3 linked regions of the Oryctolagus cuniculus genome follow. The protein of the gene in region 1 interacts with the protein of each later gene in a pairwise test. Links are inferred from orthologs where the notes say so. Each region holds a gene or a part of one and is shown in the gene's direction. Other genes may lie near its edges.

Region 1 (3,886 bases):
GAGGCTGGAGCCCCTGTCTCCGCGCACCCACAGCCACGCTGGAGGCTCAGGGAGTGGTTCTAGCAGTTCTGGGGCGGATGGGGAGCCCTGGGGGGGTCAGGTGAGTGCGAGAGGCGCAACCCGCAGCATCCAGGCAGGGGAGACCCGGATCCTGGCTCTGGGGGGTTGCATGGCCCTGGGTTCTCGGTGGCCATCTGGCTGGCTCAGGGCACACGTCCTCCCTGCAGGACTCCCTCTCCCTGGCTCACCCGCTGCTCCGGCGCATCCGGAGTGACTCCAGTGTGCACATCCTGGGCTCTCTCCCCTCGCGACCCCTGGCCCCCGAGATGCAGATCCTGGAGGCCCAGATGGAACAGCTCCGCGGGTGAGCGCCACCACTGCTGAGCTTTTAAGGGCACCGGCCGCTGTCCTGCCGCCCCGGGGATGGGCGTCTAAGCCCCGGGGATGGGCGTCTAAACGGGGTAGGAGCGGGGTGGAAACTGGCCCCTGGCTGCTCCCCCCCTCCAAAGAGTCCCCTCGTTTTCCCTCTCCCTCCCCCACCCCGAGACAGAAACATCGAGAAGCTCAAATGCTTCAACCGGCTGCTACTGGCCGTGCTGCAAGGGCGCAAGGGCCGGTGTGAGAGCCTCAGCATGCGGCTGAGCCAGCGGGAAGCCGAGGCTACAGCCCTGCGGCTGGCGCTGCAGGACAGGTCAGGGGAGAGGTCCCCGCGGGGGAGGGGCCGCGAGCCACGGCGTGGGAGGGCGCTCAGGACCCCCGTCCCGCAGTGAGCACCGTGAGGCCGTGTGCGCGGCTCTCCTGGCCCTGCACGAGGCCAGCTCCGGAGCGCGGGACTTGGAGGCCACTGAGAGGGAGGCGTGGCGGCTGCTGGCACAGGAGGAGGGCGGCGCAGACGCCGCGGCACCGCGGAAGGCACAGCCAAGGTAGGCGCCCGGGGACCGCGCTGGGCCTTGGGGCTCCCCGGGGCTGGCCTCCGTGATGGCCTGCGGCACCCACTCCTCCTCTCCTCCCGCAGCCCCGAGGGCAGCAGTGTGGATAAACCCACACCGCAGGAAGTGGCCGCCCTGCTGCAGGGCTATGCCCGGCGTCTGCGGCAGCGCCAGGCTCTGGTGAAGACCCCCCCAGAGCCGGGCCCCACCGTGGAGCCCACGCCCACCATGCCCCACGCAGAAGCCATGGTGCAGGCCATGCTGGAAGCCCAGCCCGGCCCGGCCCTGCCGCGGTTGGAGAAGATGGAGATACAGAGGGAACTGGTGGCCACACGGGTACACAGGGGCTGTGGTCCCTGGGGGGGGGGGGTCAGAACCGACAGAGGTGTGGTTGGGATGGGGAGGGGGAAAGGTTCTGCTGGGCTGGGAAGGGCTTCCTGGAGGGAGAATTGAAGCTGGGGTTTTGAGGGATGAATAGGAGTTTTGTTACTCACAGACCTCTCAATCCAGTTTTTCCCAAACGTGCTCGCCAGCCTCAGTTTCCCCTCCCCGACCCCTCAGGAGACCCTGGCGGACCTGATGTTGCAGCTGCAGCTGGTGCGGCGGGAGAAGCGGGGCCTGGAGCTGCGGGAGGCGGCGCTGCGCGCCCAGGGCCCCGCCCACGCACTCCTGCTGGAGCAGCTACAGTGGGAGCGCGCGCAGCTGGGAGCCGCGGGGCCCCACAGCGGCGCGGGGGACAGCAGCGGGGCGGGCAGCAGCGAGGAGGAGGAGGAGGAGCGGCCCCAGGTGAGCGGCCCTTCGGGGGTCGCTGCCCTTGGCCCCTAGGGGTTCAGTGGATGAGAGAGAGAGAGGGAGAGAGGTCTTCCATCTGCCGGTTCACTCCCCACATGGCTGCAAAGGCCGGGTCTGGGCCAGGAGCCGGGAGCTCCATCCGGGTCTCCCACGTGGGCGGCAGGACCCAAGCCCTGGAGTCGTGGGCCCCTGCCTCCCAGGGGGCGCATGCGCAGGGAGCTGGGGCGCACGCAGATCAGCTGGGACGCCACCAACACTCTGATACGGCCACGGCTGTCCCAGGCAGCAGCCCGCCCCGCGGTGCCACCACACCGCCCCTGCCCCAGGCTTCTAAACGGGGCTCTTCGCATCACCCCTCCCACCTGCAAGCCGGTGCTGCCACCAGGAATGTCCACCGTCTCCAGGAAGCCCTCCTGGGTTGCCCTCAAAGGAGCAATATTCGGCACCCCACCCCACCCCGGCCCTGTGACTTATCTCCCTTATCAGGGACTTGAGGGTCTCTTAGCAGAATGGGGGCTCTGGGAAGCGAGGGGCTCTGGCTGCCCCCCCCCCAGGCCAGCTTCTATGCCCAGGCTGGGCTGAGCACTTCTAGACAGAGGTCACCTCCCTCCCTTCTGTCTCCTACAGGGTCCTCCTGCTGTCCCCAACGCCACCGAGGGAGGCCAGGTGGGCAGGGCGTGGGACCCGGAGAGGTTAGCCCAGGAGCTGGCCGCTTCGCTCGCCAGGTGTGTGCCTGGGTGGGTTCTGCGGAGGAGGCGGGGGTGGGGACGTGTGTGTGTGTGTGTGTGTGTGTGTGTGTGTGTGGTGTGGCAGCGTGCGCCTGCGCGCAGGGGCGTGGGGAGCGGAGAGGAGGACCGGGTCGGGCCGCGGCCGGAGCCCCGCTGTCTCCACTCCCGCGCCAGGGCCGCGGATCTTCGCGCTCAGCTGCGGGCTCTGTGGCGGGAGCTGGAGCAGGTGGCTCAGAAGGGGCGCGTCCGGCGGGCTCAGAGCGCCGAGCTGAACAGCGATCTATGCAAGGCGCACAGGTGGGCCGCCGCCCCCCGCAGCCCACCCCTGCTGACCGCGGGTGTGTCCCTGGGCCTCGTTCCCCCCACTTGGAAGATAGTGAGCGGGTGCAGTGCAGGCCACGCCTTTCCTGCAGGATGCCCGGAGCCAGCTAGGACGTAGCCCCGCCCCCGCGGCGCCCCGCCCCGCCCCCGCCGCAGCCCTGGGTGGGGTGGGGGTGCTGTTCTCTGGGGTGGGGCGCTGTTCCCCGGCTCAGCCACCCACACCCTGCAGTGCCCTGGTCCTGGCGTTCAGAGGCGCCCACCGGAAGCAGGAGGAGCAGCGGCGCAAGTTGGAGGAGCAGGTGGCAATCCTGGAGGCCCGGCAGGCGGAGGAGTTGGCAGCACTGGAAGCCACGGCCCGGGCGCTGGAACAGCCCGGGTGCCCCTGCCCGCCTCCTCCCCCCCAGCTTGGGGAGACCTTGCTGTAGGCTCCACCCCCAGCCACGTGTCATAAACCGGCCTGGAGTGACTTGTCGCCCTGGGGTGCATGTGTCCTCATGGGTGGGGACCGGTTGCCTGGGCCACCGGGGTCAGGCTGTGAAGGTCATGGTCTCCCCCTCCCCCCCCCGGGACCCGGAACAATCAATCCAGGGGACAGGGAAGGTGGCAGAGCCCGAGCTGATGTCCCCAAGTCCTTTCTTTGTCCAGAAACCCAGGGCGGGCCCCTGGGGACAGGACACTCGTCCCCTGCCCATCTGCTTCCCAGGGAACAATCCAGAACAACTGGAGGCCCCCAAGGTTGGGGTTCAGGTTCAGGTTCAAGGCGTGGATGGTCGGCTGGAAGAGGAATCAGGGTTTGTGGAGGCTGAGGGCAGGCATCAGAGAAAAGTCTGGAACTCTCGATGCGTGTCCTTCCGGGGAGGGGGTGGGGCACAGGCCTGCCGGGCCCTGGGCAGCCTGGGAGCTTCCAGATCTCCCGCGGAGGTTGGGGGCAGCGGGAGGCGTTCCTGCCAGGTTAATTGCAGGCGACTGATTAGCATGTCATTTGCATAGGCCGCACCCCCAGCCCCTCCGCAGCAGGCTGGCTGGCCCTAGGGGGCTGGGATTAGTAACCCTAGACAGGAGGGATTAGGAAGGTTGTGGGCCCCTACCTGGGGGGGTGGGCGCCCCAGACCGCAC
Region 2 (3,130 bases), on another chromosome or scaffold:
ACTCCTTGTTCACCTTCTTAATTACTCCTTCTGTATTTTTCAAACCTTCCAACAGAAGTAAAAAGTCACAGGTCCCACCACACAGTGGGGTGCATGGGTTCACAATGATACATTGTATCCTGTAGAAAGAACTAAGAGAGGAGCTGGCAGGTTCCAGACATGAAGGCAGGGAAATGAAAAGGCTAATTGCCTTGTTTGATCGGCTGGCTCTATACATATATGGGTTGCAATTTTGCACTCTACCCCATGAAAATGTATGCATTTTACACCCCAAAATGTGCTTTTGAATGCAGTTCCCTGGATCTATTTCTCCCACAGGTTTATCACATTTCCAGAAACACGTGGTTCAAAATGGAGACCAGGATGATCAAGAACGTGTGTGCCCCGGCAGTGGTGCTGGGGGAGCGGATCGTCATTGTGGGAGGTGAGTGTGAACAGACAGCCGGGCGACTCCTGGGACAATGGCTCTCTGACAGACAGGTGCACAGCCAACCCGAGAAAGCCCTCTCCTTACCCAGAACCATCTCCCTGTCTTTCTGTACAGAAGGGACAAAGTCATGCCTACTTCCTAGAGTTATGACAATAAAGCATACTGCTGTGGCTCGAGCTCTTAGCATACCGCAGACACACAGCAACAGAAAACTATCTGCTGTTGTTGCTAACACTGGCCACTGACAGATCTGTAACATCAGCTACCAATACTAATAATACTGGCTACGAACACACTGGTACCGTTGGCTATCAGGATCAATAACACTGACTACTACTGGATTTCTCTGTAACTGCAACACAGTGCTGTGGTTTAAAGGACTGGTTTTGGCATCAGATAGATCTGGGTTCAATTCCTGACTCTTCCACTAACTGGCTATATGCTCTTTGGCACGTTACTAGGCTTTCTTTGCCTCAGTTTGCCATCAGTAAAATGGGGGTCCTCTAAGTACCCACCAGATAGGGCTACTGTGGCCACCTATTTCTGATTTCCAAAAGGAAGACTTCTTCCTCTGGGTTGTTCCAGCTTTTGGACAGGAGTATGAGAGGGAGAAAAACCAGTGAGGCTGAGAAAGCTACTAGAACTGAGAGGTCGCTCCTAATCTAAAGGTGGTTGATATGTGGCCTTAACTTGGGGTGAAGGATGCAGGAGCCAGGCTCAGCCAGATCTGGGCCCCAACCCCAGCTTTGCCACATACCACGCCATGGCAGCGTAGCTCAGCGGCCCACGCTGTAGCTGAGGATTGCCGCAGCCTCAGGGCAGGGCAGGGGAGGGAGCTGGCTGCATCCCAGTTGGATGTGGAGGGGACTGGGAAGTAGAAGGGACCAGCTAACCTCCCAGCCCAGACGAGCAACACTGAACTGCCCGTGCGCCGTTGCGTTTTCAGGCTACACAAGGAGGATTCTTGCTTATGACCCTCAGTCTAACAAATTCGCCAAATGCGCGGACATGAAAGACCGGAGGATGCACCACGGGGCCACGGTGATGGGGAACAAGCTGTACGTGACGGGCGGGCGGCGGCTGACCAGCGACTGCAACATCGAGGACTCCGCCTCCTTTGACTGCTACGATCCCGAAACAGACACGTGGACGTCCCAGGGACAGCTGCCTCACACACTCTTTGACCACGCCTGCCTCACTCTGCAGTGCCTGCCCCACACAGCCTCCAGAAGCCTCCTGTCTTAGTCAAGATGCTTCCTGTCGCAAGGGACAGAAACCCAGCTCCACAGGGCTTCGCCCTACAGGGATTCAGGGAGAGTCCACAGGACTAGACCTGGAGCCCCGGACCCACACATACTGATGCCACAGACACACACCTCGCCTGGGCCCCGCTTCTTCCTTAGTCTGCCTCCTCTCCTTCTGCCTCTATTTCTCTCTCTCTGAGCCTGTCTCTGCCTTCCCCTCTCTCTGCCTCTTTGTCTCTGCCTCTTTGTCTCTGCCTCCCCACCTTCTCTCCATTAGGCTTCAGTCTCTAACAAGCATCTTCACCCACACAGTGTGCGGACAACGACCCCTGGGAAATCCAGATTGACGTGCTGTAGCTTTGCATCTTCAGGAGCAAACTTGACCCTTACCCACATAGTCACAAAAAATAAACAAATAATGCCGACGGGCCCTTTCTGAACCCCATCCCTACCTCTGGAGCCAACACTGTGGCCAGTTATTTTCCCACTGTAAGATGGGTCCCGGACCACATCCCCCTGGGCAGAGATGTGTGAACTGTTGTGGATAACGGCCCATCTGAACTGCAGGTAATGGGATAGCAGCAGTTCCCCAAACCAAGAAATTCTGGGCTAACAAGAAACGTATCTGCCCAGGGCTCCACTGCTAAGGATCCCTGGGAGCGCTTAGGACAGGTGGCAGCGTGAGAAATGGCCGTGGCTGTATCTCGCCACGTTCTGTGGATGGACTACCTTGCAATGCCAGGAAACGTGCACTGAACATTGAGAATCTAGTGTTTAGAAAGCAGTCCTGCCCTGCCAGAATAAAGATTGCTTCTGGTGCCAAACGATGTTTTCCTCCAGCCTCTGGGGAACCATAAACCTGCAGAATTAATCAGGATTTTCATTTTGGTAAATGTTATGAGAATTGCTCTTCAGGGGAAAGCGAACAGATTCCTCAGAAATTGCAGCAAGCATTGCCCTCCAGGCGCCAGCCCTGACTGTCCCCAGAGCCCCCTTTCCCCTCAAGCCCCTCCCAAACTGGGGAGTCAGCACTACCCACAGGTACCATCACCTGGAAAGAGGTTTGAACAGGGGGCCAAGCTCCCCTGCAAACAGATGCATGGGGAGTCTCACAGGTGGGGCCCAGGACTCTGCATTTTGGGACTGCTTCCCCAGATGATGGTAATGTGCCATCAGGGTAGAGTCACCATCCTGGTCAGCTGGGGCACTGAGAACCTTCCTCGCTGGTACCACTCCCATCCCGCCTTGGCCATGCCCAGCAGTGTAGGCCAAGTCCTTGCCCATGGACAGCAGCACGTGGCATGGGTCTTGCCGCCCAGAGTGGCCCCCACAATGCTGCCTGCCTCCCCACCCAGCTCTCCAGGTCTGTGCTGTGCTCCTCTTTTCTGCCCAGCTTGTGTTCTTCGTGCTCTGGTTTCTCTTACTGGGGTTGGGAGGCGTGGGGGAGGTGAGCTGC
Region 3 (3,647 bases), on another chromosome or scaffold:
ACAGTGCTATATAATAAAAGCCATATTTTTTTAAAAGATTTATTTATTTTACTTGAAAGTCAGAGTTACACAGACAGAGGAGAGGCAGAGAGAGAGAGAGAGAGAGAGAGAGAGAGGTCTTCCATCCGCTGGTTCACTCCCCAATTGGCTTCAACGGCTGGGAACTGCACCCATCTGAAGCCAGGAGCCAGGAGCTTCTTCCAGGTCTCCCATGTGGGTGTAGGGGCCCAAGGATTTGGGCCATCTTCTACTGCTTTCCCAGGCCATAGCAGAGAGCTGGATCTGAAGTGGAGCAGCCGGGACTCGAACTGGTGCCCACATGGGATGTCGGCACTTCAGGCTATGGTGTTAACCTGCTGTGCCACAGCGCTGGCCCCAAAGCAATATTTTTCTGTTTCATTTGATAACAAAATATGGGACAGGCATTTAGTGTAGCGATGAAGACTGTGCTTGGGATGCTTGCATCCCATATCAGAGTGCCTGGGTTCAAGAGTCGGTCCTGCTCCCAATCCTAGCTTCCTGCCAATGTGTACCCTGGGAGGCAGCAGGTGATAGCTCAAGTACTTGGGTCCCTGCCACCCATGTGGGAGACCTGGATTGAGTTCCTGGCATTTGGAAATTGAATCGGCAGATGGGAGACCTCTGTCCCTATCTCTCTGCCTCTCTGCCTCCCGATGAAATAAATGTAAAAATGGACAACAGAATAATCCATACTCCATTGTGCCTTAAAAGTGTGACGTTCAGAGTTCACTTTTCTTGTTTTGGTTGATGGGTATAATTAAAATAAAAATGTGCATGTTAGTTATACTGAGGTACTGCAAATCCCATTGATTTATAACATTGTCATTGTGATTTGCAGCCAGTGGACTGAGCAGACGTGCAAAACAATGTTAGCACCTCATATGGTCTCTGTTGGAAGTAAAAGCAGTTGTAGGCCATACATAAGCAAATAAGATGAACATGAGCATGGTGTAAAGGCCATTCCTAGCTTATGGGCTGGACAATTTGAGTCAGATTTGGCCCCTAGACTGTATTGCTGACCCCAATTTTAGCGCAACATATATTGTTGGTTATTCACGGTTCAGATAATATTCTTAAGATTTCCTCACCTACTGTTCTGCAACCAAGATTTGGCTATTTGAATATTCATTTATTTTATCTAGAGAAATTGGTGCAGTCTCATTTGTAGCTTCAAGAACAAAGAAGTGACTTCATTTTGTCCAAATTGTAGTTTCCAAAATTAGCAGTTAAGAAAGCTTCTTTTTTAAAAAAAATCCTGTACTTCATGAAATACTTGTAGAACCTAAAATATTAAGTGACTGTGACCATTTATTTTTGTGAGTTGCTGAAATTTCAGTGGGTATAACATAATTACCCTGGAACATTTAAAAGTTACAGTGTTAATTCCTTGCACTTAATCTGACTGTAATCTGACTTATGTATTTCTGAATGTTCAGCAACAGCTGGCGCTCCAGCTGGAGTTGGAAATGCAAGAAAAGGAGAGACAGAGAATAGAGGAACTGCAGAGAGCTCAAGAACAACTGGAGAAGGTAATTTGAAGTTTTATAAATGTTTTGTTTGAAGATATATTAAGTTCTTTGAAATACTGAGGGTTTTTGATCTCTGAGACAGTAGTATGTTAGATGTATTAGCAACAATAATTTACATTTAACATGTTTTCATGCAGATTTTTTTTTGACAGGCAGAGTTAGACAGTGAGAGAGACAGAGAGAAAAGTCTTCCTTTTCCGTTGGTTCACCCCCCAAATGGCTGCTATGGCCGGCACACCGCGCTGATCCGAAGGCAGGAGCCAGGTGCTTCCTCCTGGTCTCCCATGGGGTGCAGGGCCCAAGCACTTGGGCCATCCTCCACTGCCCTCCCGGGCCACAGTAGAGATCTGGACTGGAAGAGGAGCAACCGGGACAGAACCGGTGCCCCAACTGGGACTAGAACCCGGGGTGCCAGCGCCGCAGGTGGAGGATTAGCCTAGTGAGCCGCGGCGCCTGCCCTGACTGCTTCACTTCTGATCCAGCTTCCTGCTAATGGCCTGGGAGGGCAGAGGAAGATGGCCAACATGTGTGGGAGACCAGGGTGGGGTTCCTGGCTCCTGGCTTTGGCTGGTCCCAACCCAGCCAGTGTGGTCCTTTGGAGAGTAAACCAGCATGGAGGATTTCTGTCTCACTGTCTCTTCTTCTCTGTCACTCTGTCTTTGAAATAGTCTTTCAAAAAAGTTTTATTTAATTATATATGAAACATAGTTATCTTCTATTACTATAGAGTGTCGCTCCCCCTCTTCGCGGAGGAACGACACAGGACCCTGCGCTGTTCTTTTGTCTGCTTGGCCCTTCCCGGGTTTGCTGCTGGTCCTTCCCGGGTTGGCTGCCGTCCCTCCACCTCCGTGGAGGGGCGGGCCTCCCTGCCACTTTCCCCACTTCCGTGGGGGAGCGGCACACCGCCGGCCGGCTCTCTCGGGGGCCGCACAGGTGTTCCTTCAGATAGATGTTCCTGGTGCATGTTGTCTCTCTCCTCCTTTATAGTCCTCTTCCACCAATCCCAACTCTGCTACCCACACGCCGAGCACGCTGCTCTCCTCCAATCAGGAGCAGGTCCTGCAGCTTGTCAAGTTGGTGAGAGGCAGCTGTGTAGAAGCTGTTTACTCCTCTCCCAGTGCCATATTGTGGGAGAGCAGATGCATAGAATAAGTCTTAATTCCAGTAACTTAGTCTAGTTGGAGTTGCTCCCCACAATAGAGTAGTAAATAAAAAAAATAAAGTAAATACAATAAAAGTAAATAAAGTCAAGGTCTGTGATTTTGTGTTAAGTACATTCAGATCACTCTTCAAAGACTGATAGAATTTGGCTTTAGGTTGAATATAGCATTGGTAAAAATAAAAATGCTTGGAAATTAATGTGAAGCAAAATGAAGTATGTTCAAAGTATTCTTTTCATTTTATCTGTTACAGGAAATGAGAATGGAAAGTATCGCTAAGGGTGAGGATAGTTTACGTTCAGAGGTGAGAAGCAAAAGATTTTATTTTATGTGAAATGAATGAGTTTCCTGAAATGTAAGGCTTAATTTTGATGCATTAGTAGCTAACTTTTAAATAAGGATATTATCACAATTGATATTCAAAATATATATTCTAGTAATAACAAGTCACAGATATGATGTGCTTTGAAGCAAAATTTCAAAGTGGATAGAAAAAATTGGGCATTCAACTTGTATTTTTTAAAGATTTATTTATTTATTTGAAAGTCATAGTTATATAGAGAGAGGAGAAGGAGAGGCAGAGAGAGAGAGAGGTCTTCCATCTGCTGGTTCACTCCGCACTTGGTCGCAATGTTTGGAGCTACAGCTAGCTGAAGCCGGGAGCCAGGAGCTTCTTCCAGTCTCCCATGTGGGTGCAGGGACCCAAGGACTTGGGCCATCTTCTACTGCTTCCCCAGTCCATAGCAGAGAGCTGTATCGGAAGTGGAGCAGCTGGCACTTGAACTGGTGCCCATATGGGATGCTGGCACTGCAGGCCAGGGCATTCACCCACTGTGCCACAGTGCCAGCCCTGTTGTTTGTATTTTTAAAGAGAGTATCCTGAGATATTCACCATATTTCTTATATATTTTAAATTTGTGCATGTACTTTTATGTTT

The links. The genes of interacting proteins can lie anywhere in the genome.
Region 2: the proteins of USHBP1 (region 1) and KLHL38 interact in binary tests that used the Homo sapiens proteins (3 or more experiments, as listed by UniProt). The two-hybrid records come from large-scale screens. The link is inferred for Oryctolagus cuniculus from reciprocal best matches to the Homo sapiens genes USHBP1 and KLHL38.
Region 3: the proteins of USHBP1 (region 1) and DYDC1 interact in binary tests that used the Homo sapiens proteins (3 or more experiments, as listed by UniProt). The two-hybrid records come from large-scale screens. The link is inferred for Oryctolagus cuniculus from reciprocal best matches to the Homo sapiens genes USHBP1 and DYDC1.

The regions. Positions count from the first base shown.
Region 1 is NC_091447.1:65,254,348-65,258,233, reverse strand, and holds the end of USHBP1 (harmonin-binding protein USHBP1), read left to right. Parts: coding exon 1-100; intron 101-227; coding exon 228-364; intron 365-550; coding exon 551-691; intron 692-767; coding exon 768-923; intron 924-1,015; coding exon 1,016-1,265; intron 1,266-1,490; coding exon 1,491-1,715; intron 1,716-2,348; coding exon 2,349-2,446; intron 2,447-2,623; coding exon 2,624-2,746; intron 2,747-2,999; coding exon 3,000-3,195; 3' UTR 3,196-3,242; downstream 3,243-3,886.
Region 2 is NC_091437.1:149,368,132-149,371,261, reverse strand, and holds the end of KLHL38 (kelch-like protein 38), read left to right. Parts: intron 1-318; coding exon 319-424; intron 425-1,376; coding exon 1,377-1,675; 3' UTR 1,676-2,498; downstream 2,499-3,130.
Region 3 is NC_091446.1:71,137,775-71,141,421, reverse strand, and holds part of DYDC1 (DPY30 domain-containing protein 1), read left to right. Parts: intron 1-1,457; coding exon 1,458-1,550; intron 1,551-2,963; coding exon 2,964-3,014; intron 3,015-3,647. UniProt on the Homo sapiens protein: Functions as part of axonemal radial spoke complexes that play an important part in the motility of sperm and cilia. Plays a crucial role during acrosome biogenesis.